Linked DNA regions of Saccharomyces cerevisiae S288C. The protein of the gene in region 1 interacts with the protein of each later gene in a pairwise test. Each region holds a gene or a part of one and is shown in the gene's direction. Other genes may lie near its edges.

Region 1 (4,551 bases):
CTATGTACTTGGCAATAGATGAGCATTTCAATGAAGGAAACGCCTGAGTCAGTTATGTAAAAAGTACTACGTACGGACCAATCGAAGTGTGTAAGAGAATGTGACATCAATTGTTGTTGCATTATGTCCATTGGAATATGCAGATCGGCTGTGGCATTTGGCCAAAATGTTATAGAGTTCACACCTTATTCACATACTTTTTCATTTTCTGTGGCTTTCAAGGGTGGGGGCGGTAGTGATAACCATTCTCTAAACAAAAGCCCATGTCCCACACCAAAGGATGTTTTTTTATATCACGTTCCCTTTTCATAAAACACAAAAGAACGAATACTTTTTAAGCCGAATGAGTGACAGAAAAAGCCCACAACTTATCAAGTGATATTGAACAAAGGGCGAAACTTCGCAAAAAAAAAAAAAAAAGAAAAAGATAGTGTAGTAGTGATAAACTGGTGCTTCAATTTCTTTTTATGAATTGATCTGTATCTGCACCTAGATCGATTTGATTACAGGATAAGGGATATGGTGCGATTCGCGAGCTTTTACCAATATGTATAAAAGGCGGCTGTTTGAAGCCATTCTATCTTAATCTTGTGCTATTGCAGTCCTCTTTTATATACAGTATAAATAAAAAACCCACGTAATATAGCAAAAACATATTGCCAACAAAATGTCTGAAATTACTCTTGGAAAATACTTATTTGAAAGATTGAAGCAAGTTAATGTTAACACCATTTTTGGGCTACCAGGCGACTTCAACTTGTCCCTATTGGACAAGATTTACGAGGTAGATGGATTGAGATGGGCTGGTAATGCAAATGAGCTGAACGCCGCCTATGCCGCCGATGGTTACGCACGCATCAAGGGTTTATCTGTGCTGGTAACTACTTTTGGCGTAGGTGAATTATCCGCCTTGAATGGTATTGCAGGATCGTATGCAGAACACGTCGGTGTACTGCATGTTGTTGGTGTCCCCTCTATCTCCGCTCAGGCTAAGCAATTGTTGTTGCATCATACCTTGGGTAACGGTGATTTTACCGTTTTTCACAGAATGTCCGCCAATATCTCAGAAACTACATCAATGATTACAGACATTGCTACAGCCCCTTCAGAAATCGATAGGTTGATCAGGACAACATTTATAACACAAAGGCCTAGCTACTTGGGGTTGCCAGCGAATTTGGTAGATCTAAAGGTTCCTGGTTCTCTTTTGGAAAAACCGATTGATCTATCATTAAAACCTAACGATCCCGAAGCTGAAAAGGAAGTTATTGATACCGTACTAGAATTGATCCAGAATTCGAAAAACCCTGTTATACTATCGGATGCCTGTGCTTCTAGGCACAACGTTAAAAAAGAAACCCAGAAGTTAATTGATTTGACGCAATTCCCAGCTTTTGTGACACCTCTAGGTAAAGGGTCAATAGATGAACAGCATCCCAGATATGGCGGTGTTTATGTGGGAACGCTGTCCAAACAAGACGTGAAACAGGCCGTTGAGTCGGCTGATTTGATCCTTTCGGTCGGTGCTTTGCTCTCTGATTTTAACACAGGTTCGTTTTCCTACTCCTACAAGACTAAAAATGTAGTGGAGTTTCATTCCGATTACGTAAAGGTGAAGAACGCTACGTTCCTCGGTGTACAAATGAAATTTGCACTACAAAACTTACTGAAGGTTATTCCCGATGTTGTTAAGGGCTACAAGAGCGTTCCCGTACCAACCAAAACTCCCGCAAACAAAGGTGTACCTGCTAGCACGCCCTTGAAACAAGAGTGGTTGTGGAACGAATTGTCCAAATTCTTGCAAGAAGGTGATGTTATCATTTCCGAGACCGGCACGTCTGCCTTCGGTATCAATCAAACTATCTTTCCTAAGGACGCCTACGGTATCTCGCAGGTGTTGTGGGGGTCCATCGGTTTTACAACAGGAGCAACTTTAGGTGCTGCCTTTGCCGCTGAGGAGATTGACCCCAACAAGAGAGTCATCTTATTCATAGGTGACGGGTCTTTGCAGTTAACCGTCCAAGAAATCTCCACCATGATCAGATGGGGGTTAAAGCCGTATCTTTTTGTCCTTAACAACGACGGCTACACTATCGAAAAGCTGATTCATGGGCCTCACGCAGAGTACAACGAAATCCAGACCTGGGATCACCTCGCCCTGTTGCCCGCATTTGGTGCGAAAAAGTACGAAAATCACAAGATCGCCACTACGGGTGAGTGGGATGCCTTAACCACTGATTCAGAGTTCCAGAAAAACTCGGTGATCAGACTAATTGAACTGAAACTGCCCGTCTTTGATGCTCCGGAAAGTTTGATCAAACAAGCGCAATTGACTGCCGCTACAAATGCCAAACAATAAGCCATTAGTAGTGTACTCAAACGAATTATTGTTGCAAATAAATAAACTTACACAGTTTGAATACATAAATCAATCAGACAAATAAATACATCGGTTCAAATTATACTAAATCTAAATACTACGTTATCGCCGTGAATTACGCAATTCGCATGTTACGTACTGCGCGTCTCTTGTTGAATATTTACCAATTGGGAAAAAGAACTCGTATTTCATTCCCCTTTTTGGAAAGGGGTGGGGAGAGACTGTTGTTCAGCCACGTCAATTATTATTTTTTCTTTGGCCCTGCGCTTGTCTTATAAAATTCCGCAGCCGCCTCTTATTTTTTTTTTTTTCGATTTTTGGCCCACAGGTCATATTGCAAAAACCGAATGGCCGCGCCCCCCTCACGCACGGGACGGAAGAAGGGCGGCGTCCCCTGTTTTTCTGCTTTGGCTCATCTCTTTGGCTCCGACGGACGAAAGACGGGATTCCCCCTCCCGTGTCTTTTTATAAATAACAAGTGCTCATTCTGCATCCTTCCTTGTTTCCCGTCGTTTGGGTACAATGCGTTGATTATCCCAACCCAAGAAAGAAAATTTGTCTCACATCTGCATCTGCACATTTATTTACCTATACTTTTCCATTGTTAGCAGTATTGCAAAGTGAAGAATATATCAGCATCAAGTATATAGTATGCACAGAACTTACTCTTTAAGAAATTCCAGGGCACCTACCGCCTCTCAATTACAGAACCCACCGCCACCACCATCTACAACCAAAGGTAGATTCTTTGGGAAGGGTGGTCTAGCTTACAGCTTTAGGAGAAGTGCTGCTGGAGCTTTTGGCCCAGAATTATCCAGAAAGTTGTCTCAATTGGTTAAGATTGAAAAGAATGTTTTGAGGTCCATGGAATTGACAGCCAACGAAAGACGTGACGCTGCTAAGCAATTGTCTATTTGGGGGTTGGAAAACGATGACGATGTTTCCGACATCACTGATAAATTAGGTGTCTTGATCTATGAAGTTAGTGAATTAGACGACCAATTTATCGATCGTTATGACCAATACAGATTGACTCTAAAGTCCATCAGAGATATCGAAGGTTCTGTTCAACCATCTAGAGACCGTAAGGACAAGATCACCGACAAAATCGCCTACTTGAAATACAAAGATCCTCAATCACCTAAGATTGAGGTCTTGGAACAAGAATTGGTGCGTGCTGAGGCTGAATCTTTGGTCGCTGAAGCTCAATTATCTAATATCACAAGGTCAAAGTTGAGAGCTGCTTTCAACTACCAATTTGACTCCATCATCGAACATTCAGAGAAAATTGCTTTAATCGCTGGTTACGGTAAGGCTCTCTTGGAACTATTGGACGACTCTCCTGTCACTCCAGGTGAAACCAGGCCTGCTTACGATGGGTATGAAGCCTCTAAACAAATCATTATTGATGCTGAAAGCGCACTGAATGAATGGACACTAGACTCTGCCCAAGTCAAGCCTACTTTAAGTTTCAAGCAGGATTACGAAGACTTCGAACCTGAAGAAGGCGAAGAAGAGGAAGAGGAAGACGGTCAAGGCAGGTGGTCCGAAGACGAACAAGAAGATGGACAAATTGAAGAACCTGAACAAGAAGAAGAAGGTGCTGTTGAAGAACATGAACAAGTCGGACACCAGCAAAGTGAGTCTCTTCCCCAACAAACAACAGCTTAATCAAAATAAATCAACAATCTATTAGAAACAAAAAAAAAAAAACCAGCAGAAAAGAACAAGTTACCATACTAATTAATCTCTTTTAATTAATGCGTGGACAGATAATCATTTCTGTTCCCTCACTCTGAAAAAATTGTTTTATTTTCCTATTTTTTTTTTCATCTATTATTGTATTTTGCCCTCTCCTCACTCCTTACTTTAGTCTATTATCAATATCTCTTCCCCCTCCTAAATATGTACTCTTTTATTTTTTTTAATTGTGAAGGAACAATTCAAGTTAGAACTCTTTTGATAGGAAACATTATTTCCTGTGTAGCCTAATGTTTAATGCCTAATTTTTTTCTAAAATGCAGCAACATACATATGTTGAGTCGTATAGACATCTATATATAACAAGCACAGAACCGTCTAATTGGTATTTTTCAGGACATTTTAAACATCCGTACAACGAGAACCCATACATTACTTTTTTTAATATTCTTTTTGTTTTCACCGCCTTC
Region 2 (7,031 bases), 190 kb from region 1:
GCAAAGTGTGGGTATTGTCACGGTAATAAGGGGGGCAACATGGATCAGTTGTTCGCATTGGATTCGTGGGCTCATCGTTATATGAACAAAATGGACGTTGTAAAGATTGAAAACTGCACAATTGGCTCTTTCGTGGAACATATGGATGTAGCCACGTATGATCGCATGTGTAATATGGGATTTAGAAGGTCTGGTAAGTTTCTTTATAAAGTGGACCCGTTGAGGAATTGTTGTAGGTTATACACCATTCGAACTGCCCCTCAAGAATTGAATATGACAAAGGAATTGAAAAAATGCATCAGCCGCTTTGCTACTAGAATAACAAGTGAGGACTACTGCCCAGCCGCTGTTGCAAGCAGTGATTTTGTGGGCAAAATTGTTAATGCAGAGATGAATTCTAAAACATTCTATACCCGATTTGAGCCTGCACTTTATAGTGAAGAAAAGTATCACTTATTTGTCAAATATCAGGAAAAAGTGCATCAAGACTACAATAATTCGCCGAAGTCCTTTAAGCGATTCCTATGTGATACGCCCTTTGGCCCTGAAGCGGTGTTGGGGACACAAGAATCATGGGAGCAGTTAAACAATTGGCAGCGAATGAAGCCAGGCGAGAAACTGAAGCATATGGGTCCTGTGCACGAATGCTACTACTATGAGGGTAAATTAATTGCCATCACTGTGTCAGATATCTTGCCCAGTGGTATATCTTCGGTATATTTTATTTGGGATCCAGACTACAGTAAATGGTCCCTAGGGAAGCTCAGTGCTTTGCGCGATCTTGCCATCATTCAAAGGACAAATCTGCAATACTATTACCTGGGGTACTATATTGAGGACTGTCCGAAGATGAATTATAAAGCAAACTATGGTGCGGAAGTACTGGATGTGTGTCACAGTAAATATATCCCATTGAAACCCATTCAGGATATGATTTCTAGGGGCAAACTCTTTGTCATAGGTGAAGAAGAGACGAAAGTTACTAAGGAGCTCTACCTCGTTGACTCTGAAACCGGAAGAGGGGAGGGATTTCCCACTGATAATGTTGTCAAGTACAAGAATATTGCTGAGGAAATATACGGTGTGGGAGGGTGTGCGTTTAAATCTGCAAATGAATCTGCATTGGAATTGAAAGAACTTTACGGTATACCGTACGAAGAGGAAGATTTAGATACCATCTACCATTTGAAAGAACACAATGGCCATGCTCCAAATGGTATTCCTAATGTGGTGCCGGGATTACTCCCGCTATGGGAATTGCTGGACATTATGCAATCTGGCAAGATCACTGACCTGGAGGGAAGACTATTTCTCTTCGAAATCGAAACGGAGGGGATTCGACCATTAATTAACTTTTATAGCGAACCTCCGAATGTCAAGAAACGTATTTGTGACGTGATACGGTTATTTGGCTTCGAAACTTGTATGAAAGCCGTCATTTTATATAGTGAGCAAATGTGAGCCTTCAACACACTATTCTAATAACAATCCTAATGTATAACATTTTTTAGCATTCAAACATTCTCACCATCGCGCTGAGATAATTTTATATAGTTGATGGAATAGTTTTGGAGGTGATTTATCCATTAAATACCTGATGCTTTTTTGTCTCCTCATCGCGTGAAAAATTTGAGAAAAAGCTCGAACTATTTGTAGCACTTCACTGTATTGCTAACAGTTCTTAAAAACTTCAGAACATATAGATATTGCTAAACACAGATTTGAATACCATAGTAACTAGTCTCTTATTCTTAGTTTTTGATGAGCTCCATTCACGAGGTTGTGGCTCTTATTGAAGAGCTGTACTCTCCTCATCCGAAACATGATGTTAATCAGATTCAACAGAGTTTACAGTCAATCCAGAAATCAGAGCAAGGCTTCCACCTAGCTAATGAGCTTTTATCTGATGACAAGTACTCTGCGAATGTCAAGTACTTTGGTGCACTGACTTTAACTGTGCAACTAAATACGCGGGGTGAAAACGATTATGAAACCCTATGGAATGTTTTCAGGTCAAATTTATTGTACTTGACGAAATTCAGTACATTGTACGTTTCCAATCCTAATATGTACGGGCAATCTCTAATCATAATTAAAAAGTTAATGTCAAACTTGTCATTGATCTTCACTAAAATCAACGATCCGCAGCTTAATAACGCTGGAAATGAAAATATGATTAAGCAATGGAACAATCCCATAAATACGTTTATTCAACTTATGTCGGTTCAAAATCAAAACATTAATGCAGACCAACTGTTGCTTGACTCAATCAACTGCTCCTTAACATACGAGCAACTGTCTCAATTTGTTAGCCTATCTCAGAAACATAATGAACTGGCATTGACGTTTACAGAAGTTATTGTGGAAGATTTGACGAAGTTCCAAACAAAGAGGCATTCAATGTCTCAAATCCACGAAGTAGTCCATGAGCATTTATATATTTCAACTATGGCTTTGATCAACTTGAACTTAACTGCACAAGCTGTCTTCAATCCTACCGTATTTGATTGTATTACTGCTTGGATTAATTATATCTCATTAACCAGAAGCGTATCTTCAAGTGGTAGAATGGATTTGTCGGAAATTTTTCAAAACCTGATTGACTTGATGTATCAGTCTACAGAAGGATCGGACGGTTATGAGAATGCGGAAAAGATCCTAACAATATTTGGTAATGTTTTTGCTAATGATCCATTATTAATGAGTTACGATTTGAGACAACAAATCGAGTGTATTTTCTTAGGTGTAGTAAGGCCTGATTCTGGCATAACCGACATATCTAACAAAAATTCTTGGATGCTACAATATATGAATTATTTAGTTACCAATGATTTTTTTTCCGAATTGAAGGAATTGGCCATTTGTATTGTGGATTTCTTGCAAATTAACACGTTAAGTGTTTGTAATAAATTATTTACTAACATTCAAGCAGCTGATAATGGTCAAGTTCAAGATGAATATATTCAGGAATACATCAAAGTCCTTTTGCAAATGACCAATTTCCCTTTAACTCCTGTCTTACAAGAGTTCTTTTCTGTTAGAATGGTTGATTTTTGGTTGGATTTATCGGATGCTTACACTAATTTGGCTAGCGAAACTTTGAGGCCAAATTCTATTGAGCTGTCTACACAAATTTTTCAGCAGTTGATCAATATTTATTTACCCAAAATTTCTTTGAGTGTGAAACAAAGAATAATTGAAGAAGAGGGTGAGAGCACTTCTGTGAACGAATTTGAAGATTTTAGAAACGCTGTCAGTGACCTTGCTCAATCTCTCTGGTCTATTTTGGGAAACGATAATTTAACAAATGTGCTAATTGATGGTATGGGCCAAATGCCTGCTGCGAGTGATGAGACTCTCATCATCAAGGATACTGATGTTTTGTTTCGAATTGAAACGATGTGTTTTGTTTTGAATACTATATTGGTTGATATGACTCTATCAGAAAGCCCATGGATTAAAAATATCGTTGATGCCAACAAATTCTTCAACCAAAATGTCATATCCGTCTTCCAAACTGGTTTCCAAACTAGTGCCAGTACAAAAGTCAGTCAAATTTTGAAACTTGACTTCGTAAGAACAAGTACAACTTTAATCGGCACTTTGGCTGGTTATTTTAAACAGGAACCTTTTCAATTAAACCCATACGTGGAAGCTTTATTTCAAGGTTTGCACACTTGCACCAATTTTACTAGTAAAAACGAACAAGAAAAAATTTCGAACGATAAACTTGAAGTTATGGTTATCAAGACTGTTTCAACATTATGTGAGACATGCCGTGAGGAGTTGACTCCATATTTGATGCATTTTATAAGCTTTTTAAACACAGTCATTATGCCAGACTCCAATGTTTCACATTTCACTAGAACTAAATTGGTTAGATCTATAGGTTATGTCGTTCAATGTCAAGTCTCCAACGGTCCAGAGGAGCAAGCTAAATATATTTTACAATTGACGAACCTATTGAGCGGCTCAATAGAGCATTGTTTGGCTTCATCGGTACAGTTACAAGAACAACAAGATTATATTAATTGTCTATTATACTGTATATCTGAGCTAGCAACAAGTTTGATCCAACCTACTGAAATCATCGAAAATGATGCATTACTACAAAGGTTATCTGAGTTTCAAAGTTTCTGGTCCAGCGATCCCTTACAAATCCGATCGAAAATTATGTGCACCATTGATAAGGTCTTGGATAATTCAATATATTGTAAAAACTCCGCCTTTGTGGAGATCGGTTGTTTGATTGTTGGTAAAGGATTAAATCTGCCCGACGGGGAACCGTACTTCCTCAAGTACAATATGTCTGAAGTTATGAATTTTGTTTTGCGGCATGTCCCCAACTGTGAGCTTGCTACTTGCTTGCCTTATTTTGTTTATTTATTAGAAAAGCTTATTTCAGAGTTCAGGAAGGAACTAACACCACAAGAATTTGATTTCATGTTTGAAAAGATCCTTCTAGTCTATTATGATGCATATATTATCAATGATCCGGACCTTTTACAAATGACAATAGGTTTTGTTAATAACGTTTTGGACGTGAAGCCAGGCTTAGCTATTGGCAGTAAACATTGGACATCATTTATTTTACCTCAATTTTTAAAATTAATACCTTCAAGAGAAAAGTTCACAATTGTTGCGGTGGCAAAATTTTGGACTAAGTTGATCAATAATAAGAAATACAACCAAGAAGAACTCACAACTGTTAGGCAACAAGTTTCCTCTATAGGAGGAGACCTTGTGTACCAAATTATGTATGGCTTATTCCACACACAAAGGTCCGATCTGAATAGTTACACAGATCTGCTAAGAGCTTTGGTAGCCAAGTTTCCAATTGAAGCAAGAGAGTGGCTCGTTGCTGTTTTGCCCCAAATATGTAACAATCCTGCAGGTCATGAAAAATTTATTAATAAATTACTTATTACGAGAGGAAGCAGAGCAGCTGGAAATGTTATTTTGCAGTGGTGGTTGGATTGTACCACACTTCCAAATTACCAAGGATGATTTGTTAAGAATTTCTCCGCTGAGGGTGAAGGCTATTCTTTGTTACATTTTATTTAGTAATGCGTTGATCCTTTTTGATAGATTTTTTTTTTGTGCTTTAAAGATAGTAGCAGTATATATGTGTGTAAAAGCTAATCATCAGAAGTGCAGCATTCATTGCTAGTATTTAGTGATAAAAATTTTAGAATTTCCATTTCTAATTGTAATTGCTTTTCATTCCAATACATGTTTGAGCTTCTGGGGGGTAAAAATACATTTCCAGACAGGGCGTCAGGTTGAAAGCAGTTACTGAAACATAGAGAGTCGACGTCAGGAGGAGGCTTCAAATGGTTTTCTGAAAGTGATTCGGTCTTATTTTTCCATTTTCTAAAATGGTGAATCCTTTCTCTGGAAATGTGTGATCCCTTTGCCTTTTGTGAAAACTTTTTTAACGAGCTTTTTAGGTTATTAGTTGTCTCAAGAAGGTTTATGGGCCCGCTGGTCTCGATATCTGCGTAATTTAATGGACGTATCGTGTCTTCCATGGAGTGAATTGTGATTTGTGAATTATATCTGTCCAATACCGTTGCCTTGTTGGGAGCTCAGATAGAAAAGACATCTTAATTCCAGACAGTCTATTCTCTGTCTATTTCTCTTTGTGACTGCAAATTTTAATTTGTGACGCCTTTTCTTATTACTCATGTATTTGTCACTCTTGACGATTGTTTTTTTTCTATATTTTTTTTGTTCTGGGGTCCTCCAGAGAATAAAAAATAATGATCAATATAGTAGATAGTATAGTTATATTCTTATTCGTTGCACCTTGTTTAACAAATCACTCAGACTCAAAGAGAATATCGGTTGGTTATCTCTCTCCGAAGGTGAACAGCAAACAGTACCTCACGTCTTTTTTTTGAATAGTTTTTTTTTTTGTTGAAACAGAAAAAAAACTTTCTTCCGTATATTACATTGTACATTATTTTTATTGTATTTTAGTTTCCAACGTTAGGATTTGAGCCGTCATTAATATTATTCGTTTTTGTACACTATTCCAGACGATTTATTTTTAGTACACTTAAAATTCCTGTTGATATTGTCCACTAGTTCTCTTTTCATATTTTATTTTCGCTTATTCTTTAGGTTCTTTTAAGAGTCTCTGTTCATTTTCCGTTCTTACTGTTTCTTTGTCCTCGATATCTTTTAAGAAAGAGAGAACTAAGCGCTGTAACATTTTTAAGTGGACCTACGTTATGTCTACAAAAGGTTTGAAAGAAGAAATCGATGATGTACCATCAGTAGACCCTGTCGTTTCAGAAACAGTCAATTCTGCTTTAGAGCAGTTGCAACTAGATGATCCAGAGGAAAACGCCACCTCTAATGCATTTGCGAATAAAGTTTCTCAAGATTCTCAATTCGCTAATGGCCCTCCGTCGCAAATGTTTCCACATCCACAAATGATGGGTGGAATGGGCTTCATGCCCTACTCTCAAATGATGCAGGTTCCTCATAATCCTTGTCCATTTTTTCCGCCCCCTGATTTTAATGATCCAACAGCACCATTGAGTAGCTCGCCCTTGAATGCAGGCGGTCCACCAATGTTATTCAAGAATGACTCACTTCCATTTCAAATGCTGTCTTCGGGTGCTGCGGTAGCAACTCAAGGTGGACAAAATCTAAACCCATTGATAAATGACAATTCAATGAAGGTATTGCCAATCGCATCGGCTGATCCGTTATGGACTCATTCAAACGTACCAGGATCAGCATCTGTAGCCATTGAAGAAACCACCGCTACTCTACAAGAAAGCCTACCATCTAAGGGCAGGGAGTCTAATAATAAGGCTAGTTCGTTCAGAAGACAAACTTTTCATGCTTTATCACCAACTGACCTTATCAATGCGGCCAACAATGTAACCTTGTCAAAGGACTTCCAATCTGACATGCAGAATTTTTCTAAGGCTAAGAAACCGTCTGTAGGAGCTAACAATACTGCAAAAACCAGAACTCAATCCATATCTTTTGATAATACTCCCTCCTCAACGTCA
Region 3 (4,353 bases), on another chromosome or scaffold:
AACCTCGAATGAATCAATTGCGCTCGCTTGCCACAAGTGGTGACTCTTTGGGAGCCGTTCAATTACTCACAACCGATCCTCCATACAGTGCAGATGCTCCAACAAAGGAGCAATATTTTAAGAGCGTCCTTGAAGCATTGACACAAGTCAGGCAAGCCGATATTGGTAATGTAATCAAAAATTTGAGTGATTCTCAGAGGGACGTGCTGGTAAAGTATCTCTACAAAGGAATGTCCGTACCTCAGGGCCAGAAACAAGGGGGTGTCTTGCTTGCGTGGCTGGAAAGAATTACTCAAGTCAGTGGTGTCACACCTATCGTTCATTATATATCGGATAGAAGAACTGTATGATACTCTGCCCAGTAAAACTTAGTATAAAGAAATATACATATATATACGTAATTTTAAGGGTCGCGTTTGTTATATGCTTTTACTTCAGGCATTTCGCGGTGATGTAGGTATTGAGTTTTTTTTTAAAAAAATTGACATTGTTTGGCGAGGTTGAAGATATAAATGCCTGGATTTTAAAAAGCTCAGTTGCTACTCAAACCAAAATGTCAACAAATCAATTTGCACAAAACAAGTACGCATAAACTTTGAGAGCATGAGTGAGACCAATGGTGGCAATGCAGCCAGGGAAAATTCTGAGGTGAAACAAACTGCAGTTGAAAATCCTATCGATAAACTAGATGGAACTCCTAAGAGACCGAGGGAAAAAGATCAGGATGAACAAGCGGAAGAAACGAGTGACAAATCAGAAGCACCCAATAAAAATGATGAGGAGAAAAAGGAGGAAGGTAAAAAAGACCAAGAACCATCGCATAAGAAGATCAAGGTTGACGACGGAAAGACCGTAGAATCTGGTATTGTGGAAGATGACAAAAAGGAGGATAAATTCGTGTTTGGTGCCGCATCTAAATTTGGAACTGGGTTTGGTGTTGCCAAAAAGGACACGAAAGATGGAGATGCAACTACCAGTACTGAAAGTTTACCAGCCTCTGACAGCAAAACAAAGAAGCCATTTGCATTTGGTTCAGGTTTATCATTTGGCAGCGGCTTCAACATACTGAAAAACAAAACAGAAAATAACTCTGAAAGTGAAAAGAAAGCTACTGATGTTGACAAAGATAAAGTCCATAGTGGATCTGAACAACTAGCGAATGCCTCAGAAGATACAAAAGACAAACCAAAACCCCTCAAATTGCAGAAACAGGAAGTCAAGTCTGGTGAAGAGTCTGAGGAGTGCATATATCAAGTCAATGCGAAGCTGTACCAACTTTCCAACATAAAAGAAGGCTGGAAGGAAAGAGGTGTTGGTATCATCAAAATCAATAAAAGTAAGGACGACGTCGAGAAGACGCGTATTGTTATGAGGTCTCGTGGTATCTTAAAAGTCATTTTAAACATCCAACTGGTCAAGGGGTTCACTGTGCAAAAAGGATTTACAGGTTCTTTGCAAAGCGAAAAATTCATAAGATTACTAGCAGTAGATGATAACGGTGATCCTGCACAGTACGCCATAAAGACTGGTAAGAAGGAAACCACGGATGAATTGTATAACATTATAGTTAAATCCGTTCCTAAATAAGTAAAGAGAAATAACGTTAAAAATAAATCAAAGATAAAAACAAATCAGTTTTGTTTAACAAATGCTACACTACATATGGTCGCACCCTGGACCCCGCCAAATTGGAAAACAGGGTATTTTATTGTTTTCCACATTTTCAAATTATCAGTCTCTATGATCTTTACTAGTTCATCTTGTGTGAAATTACAAGAAGTGATCAAGAAAATACCGTCTTTTTTCAAAATCCTTTCCACTACTCCGGCGTATACATCGACTACATCAAGTTTACCGTTGATCTTCATGCCACTCAATGAAATGGCATCTAGGGTCCCTTTATCCAACACAATGTCATACTTTCCCGGCTTCCAGTCACCACTAAAGATGTCTGCTTGCTGGAAACTGATGAAATTGTCAACACCGGTGGCCTCGGCTATATTACTAGCGAGTTTGACGCTTTCCTCAGAATAGTCTATCCCGACCAGTTTCCCTTGGAATTCCGTTTGATGCAGTTCAAATAACATGTGTCCATTACCTGTACCGAGGTCTACAACAGAAGCATTCTCAGAAATTCTGTACGCACCAATGTTATCTACCAGAAAATCAATCATCTTTTGTTCAGCATCGCTATCGCTAAACCAACAGTCCCCGGTATCCTGCGGATTCCGCCTGAAATTCTCCAGCTCCAGGGCATACAGTTCATCCCAGTATTTTTTCGTACCAAGTTTCGAAGTGCTCAAATCTGCCGTGCCCTGCATCTGTACTACCTTTTCGGGTTGAGTTCGTTCCATAATACCGTTCTTAAGAGCTGAGCTCATCGATTTTTTTTCACTTCTTTTCATGAACCAATCTTTTTGCGCATTTATGCCGGAACACCGCAAGCGGGCTAGGCTGGACCCCTTTCAAAGCAAAGCTGCCATTGCCACTATTCTGCACAGAAGTTATCATATACCTTGCGTAAAAACGGCACATAGAAGCACAGATCAGAGCACAGCCATACAACATAAGTATGACCAAAGTAGATTTTTGGCCAACTCTTAAGGACGCATACGAACCACTCTATCCGCAGCAGCTGGAGATTCTGCGCCAGCAAGTCGTCTCCGAGGGGGGGCCCACCGCTACCATACAGTCAAGGTTTAACTACGCATGGGGGCTGATCAAATCCACTGACGTGAATGACGAAAGGCTTGGTGTGAAAATCCTCACAGACATTTACAAAGAGGCCGAGTCCCGTAGACGAGAATGCCTATATTATCTGACCATAGGTTGCTACAAACTCGGTGAATACTCTATGGCGAAGAGATATGTAGACACTTTATTTGAGCATGAGCGTAATAACAAGCAGGTGGGCGCTTTGAAGAGTATGGTAGAGGATAAGATCCAGAAGGAAACACTCAAGGGTGTTGTCGTCGCTGGAGGCGTACTAGCCGGCGCTGTGGCCGTGGCTAGTTTCTTCTTAAGAAACAAGAGAAGGTAACAAGCACATAAAAAATCAGCACATACGTACATACATAAGAATGAATCGCACGCACGCGTAAACATTTATCATTTAATCTTCAGTTGTTAGATAAAAAAAAAAAGAAAAGAAAAGAAAGTGAAGGCTTGTTTCAGTTTGAACTAGGTAGCAGAGCAAGCCCTCGTTCTTGGCTGCTAATTTTCCTAAAGTAGTAAAAAAAGCCAAGTTATCTGCCTACGGTTGTCACAGCAACATTGCGTGCCGTTGTTCTTTTGTTTTTTTTTTTTTTTTTTTTTCGTGGTTGTCGCAGCAACGACACCTAGGCGCTGCTCAAAGGGGCAAAAACCCGGTTGCCATGGCGAGGACCAAACGACAAGATGGGAAAAAAACAATAGTCTATTGTTAAATCGTAATACTGTATTGTGAGATGCTGACGCGTTTCGTTTTTCGTGTCAGCGTTCTTTATATTGTTTCGTGTTCTGCTGCAAAACGTATATAAACGCACTGCTATTTTGCCTTCTTTTGCCTTCTTCCTTGCCTTTCTCTCATCTCATATCCAAGTTGAAATAAATATGACAAGCAAGAATAGCAGCAGCAATAAATCAAATACTCCCACACAAATGTACGTTATTAAAAGAGACGGCCGCAAAGAGCCCGTTCAATTCGATAAAATTACCTCCCGTATCACCCGTTTGTCATACGGTTTAGACCCAAACCGTATTGATGCTGTTAAGGTAACCCAACGTATTATTTCTGGTGTGTACTCCGGTGTTACTACCGTTGAGCTGGACAATCTTGCAGCTGAAACATGTGCATACATGACCACTGTGCACCCTGATTATGCCACTCTAGCCGCTAGAATCGCCATCTCTAACTTACATAAGCAAACCACAAAGCAATTCTCCAAAGTTATTGAGGATTTACACGACTGGATTAACCCAGCTACTGGAAAGCATGCTCCTATGATTTCGGACGAAATTTACAACATTGTCATGGAAAACAAAGATACTTTGAACTCGGCCATCGTGTACGATAGGGATTTCCAGTATACGTATTTCGGATTCAAGACACTGGAGCGTTCGTACTTGCTAAGACTGAACGGTGAAGTGGCAGAACGTCCTCAGCATTTGGTAATGCGTGTGGCGCTAGGTATCCATGGTAGCGATATCGAATCTGTGCTGAAGACTTATAATTTGATGTCGTTAAGATACTTCACTCACGCTTCCCCAACTTTATTCAACGCTGGTACGCCACATCCTCAAATGTCTTCATGTTTCTTAATTGCCATGAAGGATGACTCTATCGAAGGTATTTATGATACTTTGAAAGAATGT
Region 4 (3,973 bases), on another chromosome or scaffold:
ACGAAGATGTCGAAGAAATTTAGCTCTAAAAACTCCCAAAGGTACGTGGTGGTACACAGACCCCATGATGATCCTTCATTTTATGATACAGATGCCTCTGCGCACGTTTTGGTTCCTGTCTCCAATCCAAATAAAACTTCTCCAGAAGCAGATCTTCGAAAAAAAGACGTGAGTTCAACAAAACCAAAGGGTAGGAGGGCTCATGTGGGAGAAGCAGCTTTATATGGTATTAATTTTGATGATTCTGAATACGATTATACTCAACATTTGAAGCCAATAGGTCTCGACCCTGAAAACTCCATCTTTATAGCATCCAAAGGCAATGAACAGAAGGTCGAAAAAAAAAACATTGAAGATTTATTCATCGAACCTAAGTATAGACGTGATGAAATTGAGAAGGATGACGCGCTACCTGTGTTTCAAAGAGGGATGGCAAAGCCAGAATATTTACTACACCAACAAGATACCACCGATGAAATTAGAGGTTTCAAACCTGATATGAATCCTGCATTAAGAGAGGTGCTTGAAGCTTTAGAAGATGAAGCATATGTTGTTAATGATGATGTTGTGGTTGAAGACATCAGCAAAAAGACACAACTTCAAGGCGATAACTATGGAGAAGAAGAAAAGGAAGATGACATTTTCGCACAATTACTAGGGAGCGGTGAAGCAAAAGATGAAGACGAATTCGAGGATGAGTTTGATGAGTGGGATATTGATAATGTAGAAAATTTTGAAGATGAAAACTACGTTAAGGAAATGGCGCAATTTGATAACATCGAAAACCTGGAGGACTTGGAAAATATCGATTATCAAGCTGATGTTCGAAGATTTCAAAAAGATAACTCTATACTAGAAAAGCATAACTCGGATGATGAATTTTCTAATGCAGGTTTAGACAGTGTAAATCCCTCTGAAGAGGAAGATGTGCTGGGCGAATTGCCCTCTATCCAAGACAAAAGCAAGACGGGGAAGAAGAAAAGAAAGAGCCGTCAAAAAAAGGGTGCCATGTCAGATGTATCTGGATTTTCCATGAGTTCAAGTGCCATTGCGCGTACAGAGACGATGACAGTACTGGATGATCAGTACGATCAAATCATCAATGGTTACGAAAATTATGAGGAAGAACTAGAAGAGGACGAAGAACAAAATTACCAACCATTTGACATGTCAGCAGAAAGATCTGATTTTGAGTCAATGCTTGATGACTTTTTGGACAATTACGAACTGGAGAGTGGTGGCCGTAAACTGGCTAAGAAAGATAAAGAAATTGAAAGGCTGAAGGAAGCTGCTGATGAAGTAAGCAAAGGTAAACTGTCTCAGAGAAGAAATCGTGAAAGGCAAGAGAAAAAGAAACTTGAGAAGGTCACCAATACACTAAGCAGCTTAAAATTTTAGAGGAGTAGAATGAGATGAGAAAGCACCTACATTACAAGTACTGTGTAGACATGTATACTTAGCCTAGAATGCATTGATGCTAAAATACATCCTGCCCACCGGGTAATAATTATGAAACGCGGCGGTGCTCTTTGTGGATTTCGGAGAAAGGGGGTGGAGGAAGGAGGTCGATTTTCATTATTCAAATATTGTTTTAGTATAAAGAAAACCGGCGTGCATTGCTTCAAAGAGCCGTTCAAATTAGTAACCGTTTGAGATATCTTGTCTTACTACTCGTATTCCGCAGATAAAGTACATTTTAAGAAAGGAAGTAAATACACATAAATAAATAGCAGGAAGAAAATGTCTAACGAAATTGAATTACTGCAGAAGCAAGTCTCTGAATTACAAGACTTAGTGAAGAAGCAAAGTCTGATTATCTCTAAGACAGGAGAGCGTGTGCTGGAATTGCAGTTAGATAAACAAAAGCACGACGTAACTGATTTTGATTCGAAATTCTCTAAATCTATCTCGAAGAAATCAGGATCCGCTACTCAATTCGATGCCACTGATTTTGCCACAAATGAAGATCTAGTGGAATTAGTCAAAGAACTACAGGGTGAGCTAAATTTCATCGAGGAAAGGTCTATCAGAAGACTTGTTAACTCTTTGAAAAAAGATGATGATGACGTTATAGCGCCACTGCCTAATGCAGATGGTGATATTCCTGCTATTTCAGACGGAGTGTTCCCTAAGTCGTTGAAAGAATTTAAAGACATCCCAGACTTAAAACTGGTAAGACTTGCTAAATTCTACGAAAGATTGCCACCAACTCTAAAGGAACAAGAAGATTTTGAAAACTTCCTGGAAGGTAAGGTGGAAGCCTTTCACATTAATGAGACCACTGATGAAGAGATTTCTAAGGAGTTGGAAAAGTTCTCCAAAGATGAGCTAGATGATGCATTTAATGATGTTGCCCGCTATCTAGGTCTCTCCCTTAGAAGAGGAACCGAAATATGGTAAACAGAAAATGAAAAAAAATGAAAAATCAATGAATAAGAGGGCTTGAGTTCCAGGTTCTAGAAATTTCCCTCACTTATATATATATATATATCTATATACATATAGTTTTGAGTATATCATAACAGGATTCTCTTTCAATGAAACCTATGTTTTCCGCGGCATTGCAGTTAAAGGATGTTCTAGTGGTGAAAAAGAGAAGAAAAGAATTCAAAGTTTTCCTCCCATAAGTATACCTATACTTTTTATCTGTGATTGAAAGCTGTATACCAACAGCCTTCTATATATTACCTTGTATACCATTCAGTAGTCTTAAGCATCATCTAACTTTTGACCAGGTCCATTCTGATTGGCTGCGGTAGCCCGCTCCGTTTTCCGCTCTAAGCGTTTGGTACTTGTATAAATGTGCACTGGCATTATGATATCGAGATCCCCGCATAGAAATCTCAGGACCAACCAAAAATTGCCAATCACAAGCTCTAAGAATAATAAACGATGTCTGCAATGATGGTCAAGTTAGGACTGAATAAGTCGGCTCTATTACTGAAACCCTCCGCCTTTTCAAGAGCAGCTGCCTTGAGCTCCTCGAGGAGGCTGCTTTTTAATACAGCTAGAACAAACTTCCTTTCTACCTCACCATTGAAGAATGTGGCCAGTGAAATGAACACCAAAGCGGCAATTGCTGAAGAACAAATATTAAACAAGCAAAGAGCAAAGAGACCTATTTCTCCACATCTGACCATTTACCAGCCACAATTAACTTGGTACCTGTCTTCTCTTCACCGTATTTCGTTGGTGCTTATGGGACTAGGTTTCTACTTGTTTACTATACTCTTCGGAGTCTCTGGTTTATTAGGTCTTGGATTGACTACCGAAAAGGTTTCTAATTGGTACCATCAGAAGTTTTCCAAGATTACCGAATGGTCCATCAAGGGTTCCTTTGCTTACTTATTTGCAATTCACTATGGTGGCGCCATTAGACACTTGATCTGGGATACCGCTAAGGAATTGACATTGAAAGGCGTTTACAGAACTGGTTACGCTCTCATTGGTTTCACCGCCGTTCTCGGTACTTATTTATTAACTTTATGATTCTTTAAGGCGACGCACCTGTTTCTACACACAAATATATATATAGCCAATTTTATATATACGTTCCTATATATGACCCAATACCGCACTTATTTATTCTTTAAGATCTTTATAACCCAAAATGCCGATTAACACAAACCTATATTTACTAGGGGCACATTTTTTATTTTTTTGCCTTTCTGTAAAATACAATAGAGAAAATAAAGGAACAAACAAGAGGAAAAACAGGAAAAGATAGCGCAAGAGTAATCATATTCAACAAAATATCAGTGATTTTTTACAGATATCAAGATAATTTCTTTCCGGATACTTATTGAAGCTATTATTTGTTACTGGCAAGAAAAAGCAAACATAGGCGGTCATTTTTCTTTTGTATAAAGTAAATACAAGAAGAATTATTTTCGAGGAATAACTAGGTGTGCAGAGATATTAAGGAACAAGGAAAGAAGAAAGAAAACAATTCGAACAAAACTTTATTATTCTA

Evidence for each region.
Region 2: the proteins of PIL1 (region 1) and KAP122 interact in a protein complementation assay, tested with the Saccharomyces cerevisiae proteins (one study listed by BioGRID).
Region 3: the proteins of PIL1 (region 1) and FIS1 interact in a two-hybrid assay, tested with the Saccharomyces cerevisiae proteins (one study listed by BioGRID).
Region 4: the proteins of PIL1 (region 1) and MRP8 interact in binary tests that used the Saccharomyces cerevisiae proteins (3 or more experiments, as listed by UniProt).

What each region holds. Positions count from the first base shown.
Region 1 is NC_001139.9:649,098-653,648, reverse strand, and holds PIL1 (lipid-binding protein PIL1), read left to right. Parts: upstream 1-3,031; coding exon 3,032-4,051; downstream 4,052-4,551. Other genes in the region: PDC6 (indolepyruvate decarboxylase 6), read left to right, coding at 668-2,359. UniProt on the Saccharomyces cerevisiae protein: Negative regulator of cell wall integrity (CWI) in unstressed cells, probably by inhibiting protein kinase PKH1/PHK2 activity and regulating their downstream CWI pathways PKC1-MAP kinase pathway and protein kinase YPK1 pathway.
Region 2 is NC_001139.9:459,905-466,935, forward strand, and holds KAP122 (Kap122p), read left to right. Parts: upstream 1-1,761; coding exon 1,762-5,007; downstream 5,008-7,031. Other genes in the region: ATE1 (arginyltransferase), read left to right, coding at 1-1,461; BIL2 (Bil2p), read right to left, coding at 5,139-5,531; PUF4 (Puf4p), read left to right, coding at 6,237-7,031.
Region 3 is NC_001141.2:239,995-244,347, reverse strand, and holds FIS1 (Fis1p), read left to right. Parts: upstream 1-2,572; coding exon 2,573-3,040; downstream 3,041-4,353. Other genes in the region: ARC15 (Arc15p), read left to right, coding at 1-350; YRB2 (Yrb2p), read left to right, coding at 604-1,587; EFM4 (Efm4p), read right to left, coding at 1,632-2,321; ribonucleotide-diphosphate reductase subunit RNR3, read left to right, coding at 3,640-4,353. UniProt on the Saccharomyces cerevisiae protein: Has a role in mitochondrial fission. Has a role in outer membrane fission but not matrix separation. Required for targeting MDV1 to the mitochondria.
Region 4 is NC_001143.9:176,775-180,747, forward strand, and holds MRP8 (Mrp8p), read left to right. Parts: upstream 1-1,740; coding exon 1,741-2,400; downstream 2,401-3,973. Other genes in the region: ribosome biogenesis protein LTV1, read left to right, coding at 7-1,398; succinate dehydrogenase cytochrome b subunit SDH3, read left to right, coding at 2,893-3,489.